3 linked regions of the Oryctolagus cuniculus genome follow. The main gene of each other region encodes a partner of the protein of the gene in region 3 in a complex. Links are inferred from orthologs where the notes say so. Each region holds a gene or a part of one and is shown on either strand. Other genes may lie near its edges. The genes, in order: POLR2K, POLR1F and POLR1H.

Region 1 (3,689 bases), on a different chromosome or scaffold from region 3:
AGCAACCATTAAACCATTTCCCTTTCCTCATCCAAGGTTTGAAAAATACTCATACAGTATACAGAAAGGCCTATTACTTACCACAGGACATGTAGTATATGAAAAACTGAACTTAAAATGACATACGTATGCTGACAGCAAACACACTGCTACATTCTGTACCAAAGACACTGGAAATTTCACAAACATCTCATGACACAGTGATTTCCAAGGAATTTATTTAATTAGACTTTCAGAGGGCTCTAAAAATCTGCATTTTTCACAAAGACCCCAGATGATTCTAGGTTCTGCTTGCAAGCATAGTTTAAGAAAGTAATTTTAACCTTCATTTGTGTCACATTACATAAACAATAAAATTAAATTATAAGTCATGTAATCTAACTTCTTTACATTAAAAGATACCTAAATACAATATGGTTCAAAATGAAATCATACGTAGTTCAAAAAGATGCTAAACCAAAAGCCATACAACAATGAGAAACATTAACAGCAAATGCAAGTACAAATGAAGATATTCCTCTGAATGCACATTTCAACGCGCATCAAAGACCACCACTGTATTCATCTGAGTTAAGGAAAAAAAAAATGTAGTTGAAAATTACAGAAAAAGACTGAAGACTTCCAAATCACTTTACATGTGCAACAAGCTAGTTTGTTAATTTAAAATGCACAAAGACCTGGAATTCACTATTTATTACAACAACTAGATATAAAGTAAATAAAAGCTTTCAATTTTTATTAGCACTTTTCCCAACCAATGAAAAAAAACCCAATGTATCAAAAAGCACTGAATGCTAAAGGTAATAACTTGTGATTTTAAAAAAGTTATGTTAGAAAATTACAACTCACTCTCAGTGTTTAGTCTCATGTGTTGGCTCCACTTTTTCCTACTAAGTAGCATACACAATATTTGTATTACTCCTTGTATAATTTATTTGTCAAGCTGAACAATCAGTTCTTATGTAAATACAGAATCTCTGGAAAATAAACTTATGAGAATCAAAATCAACTAGTATTTCAATTATTTAGTGCTTCAGTTCTTGTCTATGAAAAATGCTAATAATATCTCTTTAATTAATCCAAAGTTCTTACGGTTTCTACCAGAAGTAGTGTCTATCAACCCCTGCATCACTCTACAGTTGGCTCCTACCTCAGATTTTAAAAGTAGAGTTAAAGGATACATCTTTTTGTCCTTTTCTTGTACATTATTCTGTATCCACATTCTCTGCATCTGATTGGATCCCTGGATTTTATTTCATTTTCAGTGTGACATTCTAGGGAGAAAAAAAAAAAAAAGGCTTACTCAAATTTAAAAGGAAAACAGTGCAGACAGGCAAATTATCTTAACCATATCAGGCAAGGGTATGATATTACAAAATATACTAAATGGGAAAGAAGAGAGTTGTGGGCAATGCTGTTTTTCCAGAGCAAATAAGAGTTTTAAGTGGTGCTACGAGGCGCTCCTTTATAACTTTAAACACCAATGACTCATTCATTCAAAGGATAAATGTAATAATTTCAAAAACAAATTAAGCAAAATACTCTTACTTTATGTAGCGTTATCCTTACCTCCACAAATATATATCATTGGCTGCTGCTTTGGGGGCTGAACGTCTTTCTGGGCGTCCATTGTCAGTCCCTGCAAACACAGAATCAAATCCTCAGTATTTCAAAGGGGTTCCTCACAAACCCGAACAGCCCTCCCTCCCCTTGTTTTTTCAGGAAAAACTGAAAGAGATCCCAGTTCCCCCTCATCTGCGCTCTTCTCCGTGCCTGGGAGTTAGGTCTAAGGGGCAAACCACACAGACACACACAAGTACTGAGAGTCGACCCCAAACTGGGCACGACAGAAAATGATCCGCATTTTGTTCCTTCATTATAATCTTCACAACAACCCTCAAGTGTCACTCCTGTTTTATACACGAAGAAAGCGAGGCTGAGAGATACTAGTTTGCGCAGGCAAAAGGATTCAGATTCGGCTCAAAACTCGAGTTCTCATCTAACACATGAATATCCCTCCAAAACGGAACAGACTAACCGCCGGGAAGAATACTAAAATAATTCCCAATGGCTAAACAGCTCAACTAAAAGAAACCAGGCAAAGCACTGACGGCACCAACTCCTCCACCAGCATCTCCTGACTCTAACCTCGCACTGGACCTTCTTAGCCCCCAAGTGTCTTTCTGGTTTGGCTCAAATACCCACACCTAAACCCCAGCCCCATAACTCCTTACCTGCGTAGAACGGAGAAACTCCGCATCTGCTCCCAACACGCAGTGTCGCTGTCAACTTCCGGCGCTGGCTTGTGACGCAAGACGAGCACCGCCCCTTCCGCCCCGGCCCGGCCCGGAAACCGAGTTTGCGCAAGACTCTAAAACTAGTTTCTTGCTCGCAACGGACTCTGTGGACATCAAGCACATTTTTTAACACTTAGCTATTCTCATTTTTCAGGAAAGAAAATCATTTTAACAGTTCTTCAAAGGAAGTTTGTATTTCTGACTCGTGAGATTGGCGGAAATGAACGCTTTTCCGGAAGGACCGAGACTAAGAGGGACGGAGGTGACAAGTGCCGGTGGAATCCTGAACGCGCCGTTCCTCTGATGACTTAGACTCGGTTAACCAGTGATTTTTTTTTTTTTTTTTTTTGTTACCCCGTAGAAAAGCACATTCTAGGCTGTTTTCAGGTTGTTGGGTACCTGTGCTGGGGCTGTGTGCCAGCCGCCTCCCGTCCTTGTCATGCTTGATCGTGTTTTTGCTCTCCAGCCCTTTGCTTCTCCCTCGCCTCCACGCCTGTTACTCGTTTTACAGTGCAGGCGCACCTGCGGGGCAGCGCCCTCGACACCTCGCACTTAAAGCTAAAGGATTTTGGTAGCTTTAGCGGTTCACTGGCCCTCCCTTGGTCCCATGTATTCCTAGGAGAAAAAAAAAAAAAAAAAAAAAAGACGTGCTTGTGGGAGTTGCATTCTTTCAAAGAATATTCAGTGGCATAAATGCCGATTAGATTCGAACATTTACATTCATTTACTTCTTTCACAAAAGATATTTTACTTAGAATAGAAGCAGAGCTAAGAAAATGAAATTATTACAACTTTATAGAAATAATTAAAGATTTATTTATTTGAAAGTCAGAGTTACACAGAGAGAGGAGAGGCAGAACCAGAGAGAGAGGGGACTTCCATCTGATGGTTCACTCTCCAATTCGCAGCAACGGCCGGAGCTGCCCGATCTTAAGCCAGGAGCCAGGAGCTTCTTCCTGGTCTCCCATGTGGGTGCAGGGGCCCAAGGACTTGGGCCATCCTCCACTGCTTTCCCGGGCCATAGCAGAGAGCTGGATCAGAAGAGGAGCAGCCAGGACTAGAACCGGCGCCCACATGGGCTGCTGGCGCTTCAGGCCGGGGGTTAACCTGCTGCGCCACGGCTCTGGCCCCAGAAATAATTGTTAACAGTTATTATAAAGTTAATTGTAGAAGCAGGCTTGCTTCCCCCACATGCACTGTGTCTTTGGTATCTTATTAAGTAGGACTCCATCCATCAACTTGAGAACTTTAGCTTCACCTTTCATTTCCAGAAGTTAAAACTGTGTGGTTGCATCTCCACAAACCAACTTGAGACATTCAACTGGGATTTCCCTGTCTTTCCAGGGGGCAGGAGTTTGGCCTAGCCCAGCTCCACTTCTCAATTCCAGCTTC
Region 2 (3,746 bases), on a different chromosome or scaffold from region 3:
TCCAACACTGTATAAATGTTCCTATTTTACTTTTGTTTTTCAGAAACAATCCTACATCAGTGGCGGGGCAAGGTGGTAACTTCACTTGAGATACTTAGGGAACAATTAGATCAAGTTTAAGGATGCTTCAATTGTACCCTTGAGTCTCTGGAACTTCTAGAATGGAATGGAACATATTTGCCATCTTCAAATAACTCAAAAGAGTTATTTGGAGTTTACTGGAACAGAGATTGTTTTCTCTCCCCGAGTGGTCTCTCAAAAGCACACCTTAATCCAAACTGACAATATGATTCTAGAAAACTACTTACTTTCTCTAAGAAGACAGTCTAAAGTTGAAATGAGATACCTTTTTAAAAATTTTGTCAATGGGAAAGAAGGTAGACAGTCTGTTAAATAGGAGATGCCACTGAAACGACTTACATACTGTCATGAGAGCCATTTGAAATTCTTCTGTTTTTCCCAGTATTTAAACGGGGAGAAGCAAGCCCTACTGATTCTTCAGAATGACTCAAAAATCTGGAAACATAAACAACTACACAAGATAAATTCTCAATATTGTAATTCTTAATCTGATCAACATGTTGTCCCTAACGAAGGACAATGCATGTTCAACATGTGGGGCACTGAATCTACACTCAATAAACCGAGTCTCCAGCATGTCCCACAAGTAACAGCAGAAGGCAGGGTCCGGATCTGTTCAGACCACCCTGCTCAACCTGGCTGTAAAGTCCAATTCAGTCATTTAAATGGTCATTTACTCAGTACCCCGTAATTCCGGACTAATGGCTCCTACTGGGCCCACTCGGAGCGACTTACCCCACCGCCTCAATCGGGGGAGATAATTGGCTACAGAAAGCAGCAACGCAGCTGCCTGTTCCCAGATTTTAAGACTATCTGTACATCCTTATCTCTCTCAAATCCACGCTCTCCAATCATCTGTCTCTTGGACAATTTAACTTGTCTGCTCTCTCATTCTATTTCACCTTCCTCTGATGCTACCAAGTGCATTATGTCCCACTGTGGCTATCTATCAAGAGTGTGCCAAGTCTCGGAGCTGGAGGGTACTCAGAACATGCAGCATTCGCACTACTAGCGCATACTCATTCACATCTACCACCCATCTGCGCATGCCACTCTTTGCCTAGGATTCTAGAATCTCAAAGCACCCTCTTCCGTGAAGCTCTTGTCAAACATCCCAAGATCCAACTCACTGTCCCTTGTCTAACTCTCAGCCTAACTCCATTTCGATTTCAATCAGATTTTTCATAAACTCGCTAGGTGTACTGGCTGACACGATATCCCTGCGACAGTTTAAAGCTCCTTTAATTTCTGGCTGTTTTTATATCTCAAGTCCCCACGTGCGGGGTCTGGGATCCCTTGAGGAAGCGGTGCATGCTCTAGATGACGTCTAAATCCCGGTATTTCTGCAGGCTCCCAGAATTCCTTAAGGACAACCACAGGTCCCCAGGGAATCCATCCACCCTGGTTGTGGAGACCCTCTTTGGAGCCAAACCAGTTCACGGCAATATTTGAGGCACCACGCCCCCTCCCAGTAATTCTGAGTTTTCAAGCGACTTTTTAATACCGTAATTTAAATGCATTAGAAGGCCCCCCCCGACACACACACTCCGAAAAGCAACAGGCTCACCAGTTAAAACGAAACAGACTATTTTCTCTTAAAAACAAAATAAATGGCAATTCCCTCGCGCTCATTGGAACCCCGAAAAGACAACTCCGGGTGATTCCCGGGGCCGGAACGACACCCGCACACCTCGCAAGATCGAACTGCTGTGCCCCTGCTACCGGCGCAATCTTCCACGGAAGCGGGAGATGTGGAAGCGCCGCACGCCGAATCTTCACCGCAAACGCAAAGGCATACCCGGAAGCGGACAAATGCAACGCTCAACGCCACACAGGCCCAGGCTACACGGGGTCTCCGGACCCCTGGTCTACTCCGGAGCCAGCGTCCCAGCTCCTCGCCTGCGAAAGGGGAGCCGCGCTGGAAGCGGCCCCGGCCTTGAGGGGCAGACGGCGGACCTGGAAGCCATCGCGACCCGCACCTCTCCGAGTAACGCAGGAGCTCCGCGTCGAGCTGCTCGCGGATGCCGGTGCGCTTCCTGTTCAGGTACCGGGGCGACAGTGCGATGTGCCTGCGGTGCGGCCCGGCCACCAAGCAGGAGTAGCGGCTGTTCACCAGCTCACAAGCCGCAGCGTAGGTGGGCAGCTCCAGGCAAGGCACGGCGCCCGCCGGTGCCACCGCCTGGCCCTCAGAGGCCGCTTTCGGCCGTGGGGCCTCCGAGCAACCCGCAGCCATGCGTCTTGTCAAGCTTCCCTCGGCGCGCACCAGTGACGCAACGCGGCCGCGTCGTGCCTGTCTCCGGGGCTACGTCATCGGCCGGCTGCCACGCCCCTGGGGGGGTGCCTGTCTTTCCCCTGCCTACACAGATGTGGCCAGCAGGGGGCAGTCTGTTCTTCTCTGTTCTAGGGCTCGGGGAACTGGGAGCCCTGGTACACATGGAGCATGCGCGAAGCCTTGTCCCATGCTGTGGGAGAGCACTAAATGAAAAGTAAACGTGGATGGCATTTTATGCGGTCTGAAGCCACGTCCACCATCTGTCCGGGTCGGCTTCCCTCCTCACGCTTCCCACGAGGAGCAGCGAGGTCTTTTGAGCGACGTGACCGTGGCGTGCCCTATGCACAGCCCTATGCAGGCACGGCGCTCACAGACCCCTTAATGTGGCTTCCATTCCTTGCAAGCAAATCGCCCGTGGAGCAGTGTAAATGTGAGAGTTGCTGATAGAAACCCTGGTGGTTGCAAAGCAATATGTTCCGGCACTCGGATTTGTATAGGACTTAAGCTCATTTATATCTTGCAGGTACATTGATGAGTGCGAATGATTTCAATGTCTGCATGGTTTTATATAGAAAAAGAACAATCAGAAACTGGTTCGGAGTATTTTGATTGTTGCAAGAAGTCCTTTATTTCTAGACCCAGCCAGGTGAAGTCACGCAGTTTGGGTCCTTGCTGTGGCTCTGCCACCTGCTAGATTTGTATTTTTTGGGCAAATGTCTTCCTTCTTAACGCGGAGATGATCAGATTCGTGTTTTATACTGTAGAGTTAGATGGCATTTTTAACTCTGCATAATTATTTCCATACAAAATTATTTCATGTACATGCCATGTAAAAATGCCATTTTTGCTGCATAATGAGCTATCCCCCCAAATGCCGTGGATTTAAGTAGCAATCATCAGTTTGACCCATAGTTCTGTCAGTACAGATTTAGGTGGGGCTTTGGTGTTCCAATGTGACTCCACTTGTCTTGCGCCGTTAGCACCCAGCAGATAGTCCCCCAGGACCCTGGACCATGGGGCTTCCCTCTCGTGGGCTGCAAGGACTTCCAGCAGCCCCTCTCCGTTTCTCGGGTCACTCCCGCAAGCAGGGCTGCTTTAGCTAATTTATGAATCGGAGACGTAATCACAGCCATTGATGGGGAAAATACCAGCAGTATGACACATTTGGAAGCTCAGAACAAAATCAAGGGCTGCACGGACAACATTACTCTCACCATAGCAAGATCTGAACAGAAAATTTGGTCTCCTCTGGTGACGGAAGAGGGGAAACGTCACCCGTACAAGATGAATTTAGCCTCAGAACCCCAGGAGGTCCTGCACTTAGGAAGCGTGCACAACCGAAGCGCCATGCCCAAACTTTACCGCCTCCCTGCTTTGGTCACTGCCTCCAGAG
Region 3 (3,746 bases):
AAGTTAATAAGGGAAAGCTGAGAAGGATGTAGGGATAATTTCAGTACCTGTTTTCAAAGGAGACAGAGAAGTGAGAATAAAGTGTCTACCATCATAACTTCAGCAACAGACTTCCATCTGTTAAGACAGATAAAATGGCCGGCGCCATGGCTCACTAAGCTAATCCTCTGCCTTGCGGCGTCAGCACACCGGGTTTTAGTCCCGGTCAGGTCGCTGGATTCTGTCCCGGTTGCCCCTCTTCCAGGCCAGCTCTCTGCTGTGGCCAGGGAGTGCAGTGGAGGATGGCCCAAGTGCTTGGGCCCTGCACCCCATGGGAGACCAGGAGAAGTACCTGGCTCCTGCCATCAGATCAGCGTGGTGCACTGGCCACAACGCGCTGGCTGCGGCGGCCATTGGAGGGTGAACCAACAGCAAAAGGAAGACCTTTCTCTCTGTCTCTCTCTCACTGTCCACTCTGCCTGTCAAAAAAAATAAAATAAAATAAATAAATAAAATGACATCCGATTTCATGGTTAAGTGATATTAGGGGCTTGTGATTTCCCCAGCATTTCCTAACTTTTTACTAGGGTTGTCTTTCCTTTATGGCAGGGAAAGACAGACAGGTGCCTCTCTCCCAAGTAAATTCACATCTGTCCTTTAGAAAAGAGATGGCTCCAGAGCTTGCACACGCAGGAGCCCCACAACAGCTACAACTGGATGGTGGTGGGAGGGCTAGAACCAGGAAACTCGTATAGAAACTGTTTCTTCAGGTCAAGTCTAAGCTACTGACGCGTGAAAATGGTGAGGTCTTCTAAAGATCCTTATTCTCATGTTTTATAAACAAGGAGCAACTCAATTAACCACCGACTGGATGACCACGACTGGAGGTGAGGGACCAAGTGGAAGACTGAAAGCCAAACTCGACCCAGGTCTTAGCAACCCCTGCCTACAGGCGTCCCCGGCCTAACGCCAGGTCCCTGTGGTGTCTGATGCCCTCCGAGGTCCTCGGCCCAGGGTCCCTGTGGTGTATGACCCCCTCCGAAGGCCTCGGCCCCCTCCCAGGCGTGCCCCTTCCGTCTTTCCCGTCCGGCCAGCGGAGCCCAGCGAGTCTCAGCACGCTTAGCTACACCCTCTGCTCCGCGAAAAAAGGGCCGCTGGGAACGGCGGGACCTGTACTTTTCTAATCCAACGAACTCTTGTTTTCTGGGGGCCCCCGTGAGTGGGAAGCCAGTGAGTCAGATGCGAGACAAGGAAGAGGAATACCCCACTACTGTGTCCAGGTGGGAAAAGGAGCCGGAGGCGCAGTGCCAGCGACTCGCCTTCCGGTCCACCACCACGAGACCAAACGGCAAGTGACGCAGCAAAACGCGCTCCCAGCCCGTCTGCCCGCCCTAAACCCCCCGCTGTGGCGCGCGAGGAATAGTGACGTCACAGCAAATTGTGCGCCCGGACGCGTCGGCGCTCTAGCCCTCGGCGCGCTCGCTGCCCCGCCGCTTGCGCACGGCCGGCGCTCTAGCCCGCGCTACCCGGCCCCTCTCGCCTGCCCTGGCGGGGTTCCGCGTCGCCGGCTGGTTGCTTGGTGGCCGAGGCCGGAGACGTACGTGGGAGGAGGGGTCGGGTTATCTGTGCCTAGGTGCTGGGGCAGACAAGGGAGGCCCCCTGCGTGGGGAGGGTGCGGCTCTCTGGTGTCCTAACGAACTGGTCGTTCCCTTTCCAGCATTCCGTCGCGTGTCCGTCATGGACGGCGCCAGCACCTGCCCCAGCTTTCAGTCGGACTTGGATTTCTGTCCGGATTGCGGCTCGGTCCTGCCCCTGCCCGGAGCTCAGGATACGGTCGTCTGTACTCGCTGTGGCTTCTCCATCCACGTGCGGGGTGAGGGGCGGGGGCCGGTGCGCGGTTTGGAGACCGGGGAGGGAGAGCCTTAGAGCGGGCGCCTGGACGTCTGGTCTGCGGAAGAACCCTGAGGGAGGCAGGCAGGCCTGGCGGGGGCGAGGCGGCCGTCCGCGCCCTCCGCTGGCCTCCACAGCCGCTTCTTGCTGCCCCGTGCAGACTTCGAAGGGAAGGTCGTGCAGACTTCCTTTGTGTTCCACAAGCTGGGGGCAGCCGTGCCTGCGTCGGCGGAGGAAGGGCCCGAGTTCCAGGGACCCGTGGTGAGTTACTGAGATGGAGGGCTGGCTGCAGAGAGGGGCGTGGAGAGGAAGCGGAGGGGCGAGTGCGGGGTCCGCAGAGTGTTGCACCGACTTCCAGGAAGGCGGAGAGCCTGGGAAGTGAGGGGCGCGCCCCCGCCTCCTAACGCACCCCTTCCCGGCCAGGTTGACAGGCGCTGCTCTCGCTGTGGCCACGAGGGAATGGCGTACCACACCCGGCAGATGCGCTCAGCCGACGAGGGGCAGACCGTCTTCTACACCTGCACCAGCTGCAAGTGGGTCTCCGCTCCCCTCCCTCTGTCTGCGCACTTGACATGTTCAGTGGCGTATTCTTGTACCACACACTTGCTTCCATGATTCCATCCCTAATAGGAAATACTTGTCTTTTGTATATCCAGTGAACTCAACCGTTTACTATTTTGTTTTTTCATTAAAAAACAAGAGAAGGCTGGAGTTGTTCACTGCAGCCAAGGTAGCTTGACCATGGTAAGAATTAGTCACACGGGATTTAAAGAACAGCAGCTTTCTGAATGGTTTGCAGAATTTAGTGTTCTGGTTCCACTAGAATATATCAGAGTGTTGTGGGCCGGCGCTGTGGCGGAGGAGCAGGTTAAGCTGCCGCCTGGGACACCAGCCTGGGTTCATGTCCTGACTGCTGAACTTCCAGTCCCGCTCCCAGCGAATGTGCCTGGGAAAGCAGTAGAAGATGGCCCAAGTTCTAGGGCCCCTGCACCGACGTGGGAGACCTGGAAGAAGCTCCTGACTCCCGGCTTCCTCCTGGTCCAGCCCCAGTATTGCTGCCATTTGGGGAGTGAACCAGTGGATGATCTCTCTGTCTCTCCCTCATTTCTTTTCCCCCCAAGGAAATCTTTTATTTGATAAGTACAAATTTCGTAAGTACAGCTGCAGGAATATAGTGATTCTTCCCACCATACCCACCCCACTCCCAGCCCACCTCCTCCCTCTCCCATTTCCAGTCCCCTGCTCTTGTATCTCCCTCTCTGTAAATCTGCCTTTCAATCAAATTTTTTTAAAAAAAAAATAAAGGATATATCAAAATGTAGCTCGCTTTTGTTTATCCTGTTTGGAATTTTATTGGACTTTCTGAAATGAGAATTGATGTATTTCTCATTAACTTTGAAAAATTACCAGCCATTATCTCATTTAATACTGTCTTTCTCCCATGTTTTTAATTCTCACATACTGGAGTTCTAATTGTTTATTATACTTTCTCCTCATCCTCCCATTTTCCTCACCCTGTCTAAAAATTTATTCAAAAGGCAGAGTTATAGAGAGGCAGAGCCAGAGAGAAGTCTTTCATCATTGGTTCACTCCCCAAATGGCTGCCACAGCCAGAGCTGGGCCAATCCGAAGCCAGGAGCCAGGAGCCTCTTCCTTGTCTCCCACGTAGGTGCAGGAGTCCAAGTACTTAGGCCTTCTACTGCTTTTTTTTTTCCCTTTGCCATAGCAGAAAGCTGGATCGGAAGTGGAGCAGCTGGGACTCGAAGCGGCGCCCATCTGGGATGCCGGCTCTGCAGGCAGCAGCTTTACTTGCTACTCCACAGTGGTGGTGGCCCATCAATCATTTTTTACTTCTCAGTTCCTTAATTGTATTTTAA

Evidence for each region.
Region 1: POLR1H (region 3) and POLR2K share a complex: the UniProt entries of both Homo sapiens proteins name them as parts of the pol I pre-initiation complex. The link is inferred for Oryctolagus cuniculus from reciprocal best matches to the Homo sapiens genes POLR1H and POLR2K.
Region 2: POLR1H (region 3) and POLR1F share a complex: the UniProt entries of both Homo sapiens proteins name them as parts of the RNA polymerase I (Pol I) complex. The link is inferred for Oryctolagus cuniculus from reciprocal best matches to the Homo sapiens genes POLR1H and POLR1F.

Annotation. Positions count from the first base shown.
Region 1 is NC_091437.1:125,592,977-125,596,665, reverse strand, and holds POLR2K (DNA-directed RNA polymerases I, II, and III subunit RPABC4), read right to left. Parts: upstream 2,938-3,689; 5' UTR 2,235-2,937; intron 1,640-2,234; 5' UTR 1,631-1,639; coding exon 1,570-1,630; intron 1,275-1,569; coding exon 1,182-1,274; exon of another isoform or gene 1,151-1,181; intron 556-1,150; coding exon 533-555; 3' UTR 202-532; downstream 1-201. UniProt on the Homo sapiens protein: DNA-dependent RNA polymerase catalyzes the transcription of DNA into RNA using the four ribonucleoside triphosphates as substrates.
Region 2 is NC_091447.1:11,751,657-11,755,402, forward strand, and holds the start of POLR1F (DNA-directed RNA polymerase I subunit RPA43), read right to left. Parts: upstream 2,380-3,746; 5' UTR 2,315-2,379; coding exon 2,061-2,314; intron 1-2,060. UniProt on the Homo sapiens protein: Component of RNA polymerase I (Pol I), a DNA-dependent RNA polymerase which synthesizes ribosomal RNA precursors using the four ribonucleoside triphosphates as substrates.
Region 3 is NC_091436.1:140,425,160-140,428,905, reverse strand, and holds the start of POLR1H (DNA-directed RNA polymerase I subunit RPA12), read left to right. Parts: upstream 1-1,386; 5' UTR 1,387-1,576; exon of another isoform or gene 1,577-1,612; intron 1,613-1,696; 5' UTR 1,697-1,716; coding exon 1,717-1,852; intron 1,853-2,029; coding exon 2,030-2,130; intron 2,131-2,292; coding exon 2,293-2,402; intron 2,403-3,746. UniProt on the Homo sapiens protein: Core component of RNA polymerase I (Pol I), a DNA-dependent RNA polymerase which synthesizes ribosomal RNA precursors using the four ribonucleoside triphosphates as substrates. Can mediate Pol I proofreading of the nascent RNA transcript.